Linked DNA regions of Schizosaccharomyces pombe. The protein of the gene in region 1 interacts with the protein of each later gene in a biochemical or structural test. Each region holds a gene or a part of one and is shown in the gene's direction. Other genes may lie near its edges. The genes, in order: sro1 and pka1.

The links.
Region 2: of the proteins of sro1 (region 1) and pka1, one has a biochemical effect on the other in vitro, tested with the Schizosaccharomyces pombe proteins (one study listed by BioGRID).

Annotation. Positions count from the first base shown.
Region 1 is NC_003423.3:4,079,859-4,084,022, forward strand, and holds sro1 (protein sro1), read left to right. Parts: upstream 1-2,000; 5' UTR 2,001-2,348; coding exon 2,349-2,669; coding exon of another isoform or gene 2,670-2,786; 3' UTR 2,787-3,340; downstream 3,341-4,164. Other genes in the region: cdc23 (MCM-associated protein Mcm10), read left to right, coding at 1-1,362; SPOM_SPBC1347.14C (uncharacterized protein), read right to left, coding at 2,421-2,786; centractin family actin-like protein Arp1, read left to right, coding at 4,079-4,095, 4,139-4,164. UniProt on the Schizosaccharomyces pombe protein: Stress-responsive protein that may play a role in regulation of cell cycle.
Region 2 is NC_003423.3:394,881-399,546, forward strand, and holds pka1 (cAMP-dependent protein kinase catalytic subunit Pka1), read left to right. Parts: upstream 1-2,111; coding exon 2,112-3,650; 3' UTR 3,651-4,077; downstream 4,078-4,666. Other genes in the region: cut4 (anaphase-promoting complex platform subcomplex scaffold subunit Apc1), read left to right, coding at 1-485; plg7 (1-alkyl-2-acetylglycerophosphocholine esterase), read right to left, coding at 4,488-4,666.

The DNA of each region.
Region 1 (4,164 bases):
AAAAGTGAAGAGGAGAAATTTCCTATGAAATGTGATGAAATCGATCCTTATTCAAGACAAGCCATTGTTATTCGATACATAAGTGATGAGGTTGCTAAGGAAAATATAGGGGGAAATCAAGTTTATCTCATTCACCAACTACTCAAACTAGTAAGAGCTCCTAAATTTGAAGCGCCAGAAGTTGACAACTATGTAGTTATGGGCATTGTTGCCAGTAATAGTGGAACCAGAGAAACTGTGAATGGGAATAAATATTGTATGCTAACACTGACTGACTTGAAATGGCAACTGGAGTGCTTCCTGTTTGGAAAGGCGTTTGAACGATACTGGAAGATCCAGAGTGGTACTGTCATTGCGCTTCTCAATCCTGAAGTACTAAAGCCAAAGAACCCAGACATTGGACGCTTTTCTCTGAAGCTGGATTCTGAGTACGATGTACTTTTAGAGATTGGTCGCTCCAAACACCTTGGCTATTGTTCCAGCCGAAGAAAAAGCGGTGAACTATGTAAACATTGGCTCGACAAGCGTGCCGGAGATGTATGTGAATATCACGTTGACCTCGCTGTCCAGCGGTCCATGTCTACGCGAACGGAGTTTGCTTCAAGTATGGCGACTATGCACGAGCCTCGCGCACGACGTGAAAAGCGATTTCGTGGACAAGGGTTCCAAGGATACTTTGCTGGGGAAAAGTATTCCGCAATTCCTAACGCAGTAGCTGGTTTGTATGATGCAGAAGACGCCGTTCAGACCGAGAGGGAGCGCAAGGAACGATACAAAAAACAACGAGCGCAGGCTGAACGCGAGCGTGAAATTTTGGTGCGATTATCGAAGCGATGTTGCGCTTCCTCTTCGTCTAGCTCTAACTCGAATAACCTCTCTACGGGAATGTCGATGCGAACACTCGGCCATCAGTATCTAAATTTACAAGGTTCCGGCGTTAAAAATTTACATGACAAGGGTAATCCCACTGCTCTTTCTAAAGATAGCGAAATTGATTCATCGACGAAAAAACCATCCGTTCTGGCCTCTTTTAATGCATCTATAATGAACCCTAAATCCTCTCTACCATCTTTTTCTAACTCTGCTATTCTCGGCACTAACGATGCGGCATCAGGGACACCCGTTCCACAAGATACTACATCCACCAAAGTTTCCCCAGCGGTAGTGTTTACCTCTTCGCCGAGGATTTTTTCCCCCCAAAGTCTACGAAAAATAGGTTTCGATCCAACGCATTCCGCAGATGCATCTACAACGCACTCCACAGCGACTGGACTTTCACGATCCGGCTCCCTAAAAAATATCAAATTCCGATATGAATTTACTGAGAGTGATGATGAGGATGACTTAGAAATAGTTCCCTGAATTTTACGTTGTTTTTCTATACATTATGATGAAAATTAATTATTTAAATTACTAACCAACTTACTAATTAATTAGCTAGCTAATGGATATAGCTATGATTTCAAATGAATGTTCTTTTGTTTACATGCGACACACTTTGCTATCATGAAACTTTCAACCCTTTGTTAAACCTTTCTTCTAAATCCTAATCCTTAGTAAATCCCAATGGAATATTTGAAACGCTTATTAAACACAGTCGCTCTTTTCATTTGTGATGTCAACTGTTTGAATTCAATGTGCGAAGTCTCCCTTTTTTGTTCTGCTAGCTTCTCTCTCATACAAGAACGGCCGTTACAGCTTTTGACATCACATTGTTTATTAATCAAACGAACGTAAGCTTACTTTCATATGGTATGATGGGCTTGTAAGCAATACTAAGATAGCCAGCCAAACTGAGGTACTGTCGACACCTTTAGCTTACGATTGCTTTCGTCTAGGTATCGGACTTTACACTGCTAGTCGCCTATTTTAACGTTGCGCCGTATGGAACGGGTATCGCATTCTTATCAGTAAGGAAAGCTATCTGAATTCGTCACAAAGGAAAAGGCAAATAAATAGTCTAAAACTATATAAATGCGGGCTTCCATCTAAGAGACCTCGCCATCCAACAATTGTTGCGTCCCACCTAAACAGTGTCTAATCAAAGTCAATTGCGAGACATTCTAAAGTAAAAAGTTAATACATTTTAGCTACTACTAAATACTTCTTTTGATATTCTTTTTAGTGAACAATAAAGAATATTGGTTTGATCAACACGGTCATCTTCAGAAAAAAAATTTTTTATTCGTTGGTTTAATTAGTTAAGAAAATTTTTTTTTTCTTTCTTCGCTGACGTCTCGATAATTAAATCTGCGAACGGTGATACTTCTATTCTACACATTTCTATTTAATCACTGTTATTTTCTTTTCTTTTTAATTTCATCAATAAACATTTTTGATTCATCGCTATGTTTTCTATTCTTAAACAAGGTGTCATCTCCAAGTCTCTTTTAGCCGCTACCTCTTTAAAGGCAACGGCTTCAAGATTTTCCTTCTCTACTAGTGTTGCTTCCCGTGTTGACGGTACTAAGAATGGTTGGTCTTTTACCGCATCCAATGTTGCTGATCAAACCACCGATATCGGCATTAACTCTGAGTCGGCTATGAGCTGTAACGACCAAGAGCAACCTCTTTCCTTTTACGTTCAAACTGTCAGAGATGACTTGAACTCTCCTAATTGGGGAGCTGAGCAAAGAAAGGGTGCATTTGATTGGGAAGTAAGCGCTTAAACCCGAATATTGTATACAAGAAGAAAACCCGATTTCCGTTATGATCAGAAGAAAATAATAAAAAGGGAAAACAAAAAATTGGAAAATTGAATGTTTTATCTTATTCGATAAAAGCATTAAACAATCTAACAATGCAATCTTTTTTAATTCGTTATTTTCGCTTTTCTTTTTTTTTTACTCTTCTTGATGTAATTGTTAAGACATGGATTTTATTTTTATTTTTCTAAGGAATTTCGATTATTGGAATTCTTTTACCACCCCCATCCCTCTTTTTATTACCAGTTTCAACACATTGGTTCCCCTGCTTTAGAATGTTTATCGATATAAGCCGTGAACGGTTCCTTGCTTTTACCATTTTTAAATGAGGCAAGACATATGTATTATTAGTTTATACCCCCAAGACTTGTTAGTCTTTATATTATTAGTTTGTCTACTTGTTGACTATAATGATAGTCGCTGATAAAGTTGAAGTTTCCACCTTAATCTTTGTTATTTTATATCCAATTCGCCATGGTCACATTGATTTGATTGAATTTTCGGTTGCTGGATTACAAAAAAGAAATGCCAAATGCGATACAACTGTTACATTTAGATTCAGAATAGGAAATTGTTTGTATAATTAAAAAATAGAAATTGTTTATTTTAATACATTACTACTGATTAATGAGTAGATGAATGGTGGAAGATTGTAAACAATTATGAAGACAAGGTCAGCATTGTCTTTCCGTCTAGCTAAGAAGCAACCCGATGTGCAATTTATAAAGTAGTGCGGTTTAGTGTTGATACGTTATCTTTTTGATAGTTTGATTAGTTATTTCGAAAACACGTTAAAAATGCAGTGAATTTTGTACAGTCTTCTTTACAATCCATTCAACAACAATTACGAGTACGAGCGGCTTTATGATGGGTCTAACCAAGATGTAAACATAACCATTATTAAGCATATACTACAATTCAACTGAAGAAACAAATTCAATCGAAAGGGTTGTCGTAATTTCTTTATATGGTTTTCATTCAAAAAGCCTATTGAATGAAACAACTTATGTATGATAATTGCAGGGTATAGTGATACATAACGAAGCTTAATACTGCTAAGTTTCTTGTCAAGCATGCTACTTTCTTTAGACAATTCCCAATTGCTTTAACTAATAGCTGTTAGTGACCAATTTCCATTGGTTTAAGGTATTTTTTTAAAAAATTGGTACGATTGTTGTTCCTCCTGTTAGTATAAAATTTCTTGGCAAAGCCCAAAACCTTCAAAGTTGCGTCTTCTATTACTGTTTACCCGCCATTTCCTTCATTATTGCTAGTGCTCTCAAATTTCAAGCCGCTTAAAGAATAATTTAAACCCTTAATAAAACTTTCTTTTAAAACCTCCGAGTCTCAACTTTGATATTTCAGCTTTTTGGATGACTGTTACTGAAATGTGCGTGTCTTTTGAAAGAATTCTATTTATTGACGCGTTTTAGCTTTGATAATCAGCCGATATGTATCG
Region 2 (4,666 bases), 3.7 Mb from region 1:
TGGGTGATAAGTATTGGAATTTAAAAATTGATTTGGACAATAACAGTGATTACCGTGAACTATTAAGGGAATCACAAACACTGACACTGATGCCTTATGACCGAACAAGTTCAAAAGAAGAGCCACTTAATCTATTCCCTAAGCTTAAAGATACCTCAAGCCCACTTTGGAACTTGGTAAAAACAAGCAGGTTGTTCCAAAGCTCGAATAGCCCCTTAAACGTTGCATCGTTACAAGAATCAAATAATAAAACTTCTCTAGGCGTTAAATTACTCCTGTCTATGGACTTTGATAATTTAACTAGAGACCGTTTATTAAGTTTGCAAATACTGTTACAATTTTTTGAGTCTTGTTGGACTGGTGTGCTCTTGAATAAGTTTCACTCCCGTCAATATCTTTTCCTTTCTCGTGATTTGGTAGAAGATTTGAGTTTGAGAGTATGGGAGTATGTGTATTCTCATAATCATAATGAAGAATCTGTATAATTATGAACTACGTTTATTAATTATATGATATGCTAATGGGCTGAATGGTTTCCAAAAATCTTTTCCATCATATCAATCCTTCAAAAGGAAAATTGAAGTTTAAAAAAATAGAACCCCTTAAAATTAACGACTTGTATAAATACCTTAATGTCTCAATTAATATACAAGGTGGCATATCCAATGCAACACTTTTTTCACGATCATGATTAATAGCTATCTTCAAATAATGGTTTGTTAAAAGGAAATCGAAGTTAATAATAAATTGTTAATTGGAATACTGATGCTCAAACTATTTCACTGGGCAAAGTAAAAAGAATATTATTGCGACAACTACTAAGCACCCATGGTTCTTCAAGGGGTAATACCGCCTGTCTCAAGGCGCCGTTGAAAATAGATTAGCTTTTTTATCCTTTTTCTATATCTTTTCCCTCCTTTCGTTAATTAATTGATTTAAGCATGACACTTCGAGCTACTAACTAACACTATATCGTTGTATGCTGTTTACATAAGTTCTTGATGTTCGAATCTATGACTTTCGAGTAACGGTTCCAAATATTATAATTTAATGAATTACACCCGATAATTAATACACTGTATTAAACCATCTAAATCCACCTGACGAATTCAATCTTAAAATTTAAATAGAAGTCTTTAAATCCGACATGCACTGAGATGCTGAAGTTTTGTAACGATCTACATTAAATTCCCCTATTATAATTTACGTACGATTATTCGCCTCATTAAAAATTCCTTCGTTTTTGAGGGGTAGTAAGGGCATGACTTCAACCTTGCATCCTATGACACAACACTTCTTTCGTTAGCAAAACACAAATTGAAGCTTGCGAACGCATAGGAAGTGTGAATAGCTCGTTTCTCGAAAGCCGCTAATTCTACAAAAGCTTTCTGTATCAAAAAGACTTGTAGTTTTACTTAATACACCTTTGGTTCTGCGCTAAGAGTGAAAGGCTCAGTATTGTTGTGAAAACCGTGAATCTGTAACGTCGGTTTATGTTAATTTGTATTTTTGAACGCTTGCTATAACTATTGTTATCTATTTTTGTCTGCTATAGATTATCTTTGAAGGACTCAGAGTCGATTTAGCTTATCTTCTTATTTTTTGTCTCAGGTGTATCGAATTATCGTTCGTGTTCATTTGTACTTTTGGAATAACAGTTTGTTAGACATTAAGTTGCTTCCAATTTTACTTTGAAGGATTTCGTTTGCCCGGATTGATTGAGCAAACGAGTATTATTTGTCTTTATTCTTGTTGGGTTTTTACTTGTGTTGAGCGACTGGAATTTCACTTAAAATAGTTTCTTTTCTGCCGCTGTCCTCTTTATTTTAATAAATTATTTAGAGGAAGTAAATTTCGCTCTTTCTATCTACGCTGATTCTTTATTTATTTTTGCTTCGCTATAATAAGCAGCGCACCAAAAAAGAACTCTAAGATTACTGCTATTGTTGCGGTTTATATACATATATTCGAAGGTTGTTCAAAGGTAACGACCTTTTTGCCTCGACCTCTTTTAACCTTATTCTTGTTTTCGGGTACTTTATAAGTTTGACGAACGATTAGTGAATTTTAATTATCTTTTCGTGTATAAACGCTATTTCACATTTGTACTCATGGATACGACTGCCGTTGCTTCCAAAGGAAGTACTAACGTGGGTTCTTCAACTGACACTCTATCTACAAGTGCCTCTTTGCATCCATCTATGAATGCCGGCAGCGTTAATGAATATTCGGAACAGCAGCGACATGGAACAAATTCTTTTAATGGCAAACCCTCTGTTCATGATTCTGTTGGTAGTGATGCAAGTGTAAGCAATGGTCATAATAACCATAATGAATCAAGTCTGTGGACTTCGGGCATCCCTAAAGCTTTGGAAGAGGCCACGAAAAGCAAAAAACCCGACAGCTTGGTTAGCACCAGTACGTCTGGCTGTGCAAGTGCCCATTCTGTTGGTTACCAAAACATCGATAATTTGATCCCTTCACCTCTTCCTGAAAGCGCGAGTAGAAGTAGTAGCCAAAGCAGCCATCAAAGACATTCGCGGGACGGTCGTGGTGAACTAGGTTCAGAACACGGAGAGAGACGGTCAGCTATGGATGGGCTACGCGATCGCCATATTCGTAAAGTTCGGGTTAGTCAGCTGCTCGATTTACAGCGTCGAAGGATTCGTCCTGCTGACCACACCACAAAAGATCGATATGGAATACAAGATTTCAATTTCTTACAAACATTGGGCACTGGCTCGTTTGGTCGAGTTCATCTCGTTCAGTCGAATCACAATCGCCTGTATTACGCCATCAAGGTTTTAGAAAAGAAAAAAATCGTTGATATGAAGCAAATAGAGCACACTTGCGATGAGAGATACATTTTATCCCGTGTCCAACACCCGTTCATTACCATTCTATGGGGTACTTTCCAAGATGCCAAAAATCTGTTTATGGTCATGGATTTTGCTGAAGGAGGAGAGCTTTTTTCTTTGCTTCGTAAATGTCATCGATTTCCCGAAAAAGTTGCCAAATTTTATGCAGCAGAAGTGATCCTTGCTCTTGATTATCTTCACCACAATCAAATCGTATATCGAGATTTAAAACCCGAAAATCTTCTTCTTGACCGGTTTGGTCATTTGAAAATTGTGGACTTTGGTTTTGCCAAACGCGTCTCTACTAGCAACTGTTGTACTCTTTGTGGTACCCCCGATTATTTAGCCCCGGAAATCATATCTTTAAAACCGTACAACAAAGCTGCAGATTGGTGGTCCCTTGGTATTCTTATCTTTGAAATGCTTGCGGGTTATCCTCCATTTTACTCTGAGAATCCAATGAAGTTGTATGAGAATATCCTTGAAGGCAAGGTCAACTATCCATCGTACTTTTCTCCTGCTAGTATTGATTTGTTGAGCCATTTACTTCAGCGAGACATAACCTGCCGCTATGGAAATTTGAAAGATGGTAGCATGGATATTATTATGCACCCTTGGTTCCGTGATATCAGCTGGGACAAGATCCTTACTCGGAAAATTGAGGTTCCGTATGTTCCTCCCATTCAAGCTGGAATGGGTGATTCCAGTCAATTTGACGCTTATGCTGATGTAGCTACGGATTATGGAACATCTGAAGATCCTGAATTTACTTCTATCTTTAAGGACTTTTGATGTTTTGTGCCACGTTTGTTTTGTTTTAAGATACTCGAATGCTTATTGATTCATTGTACTATTGCCTTAAAGCGTTGAGCAACGAATGCCTATTTGATTTAGTGCAATGCAAGTGACGTTTGTAGCACTGATTTTGCAATTCACCAATATTGGCTTCAGTTTTTTGTGCTGGTGTAATGGACCGACTTTATGTTTGGATGGGATATGATGATCTCAGTTGAAGCTATTTATTTTGATGTTTTTCCAGGCAATTAGCCTGCTCTGATGTATTTCCACTCCATTTTATTTATATATTCTGTTTTTTTATGGTTATGTTAAACCCCAAGTCATTTCTTCTTCATGTTGAACAGACAAAAGAGCATTGTTTGTTGAAACTGTGCAACAACTAGATACATATATCCGCTAATAATCATTGAATTTCCTTGTATCTATAATTAATGGTGGTTTCATTCGTAATTGGTTGGTAAATTATTTTGTTGAATAAATAATAATGTAAAATGATAAAAGAATCTATCAGTATATAAGACATATTACAAATTATAAATATTAGTCTAAATTTTTCAAAATCACACACTTAGCGTAAATGTTCGTCCTTAATCATCGCGGTCCTAAGCACAGGCTCCCAAAAAGTAATAGTTACCATATTCAATCCACATTAACAGGTAAGCTTTCGAAAATCTTCTTTATAAGCTATAAGAAATTTGTGCCAAACAGTTAACTCATTAGCATGACAGTCAATAAATATTATAATTAGCATCGGCGATAGATAAAAAGACAAGAAAAGTCAAAAGAGTTTTGTTTTTAAGAGTTTTTAGCTCTTTGTAAAAGTGGTAAATACTACATAATTCTTTCCCACCCAGGAATAATATTTGTTTGCAACGACGAAGGATCATTATCTCCCTGAACATTTTCAACATGATTTTCACGAAGGAATTGTACAGATGAACGAGTATTAATGCGTAAAGCTTCATAAGGGTCTGCTTCAAATTTTCCTTTCAATACCCTTAGTACCATGC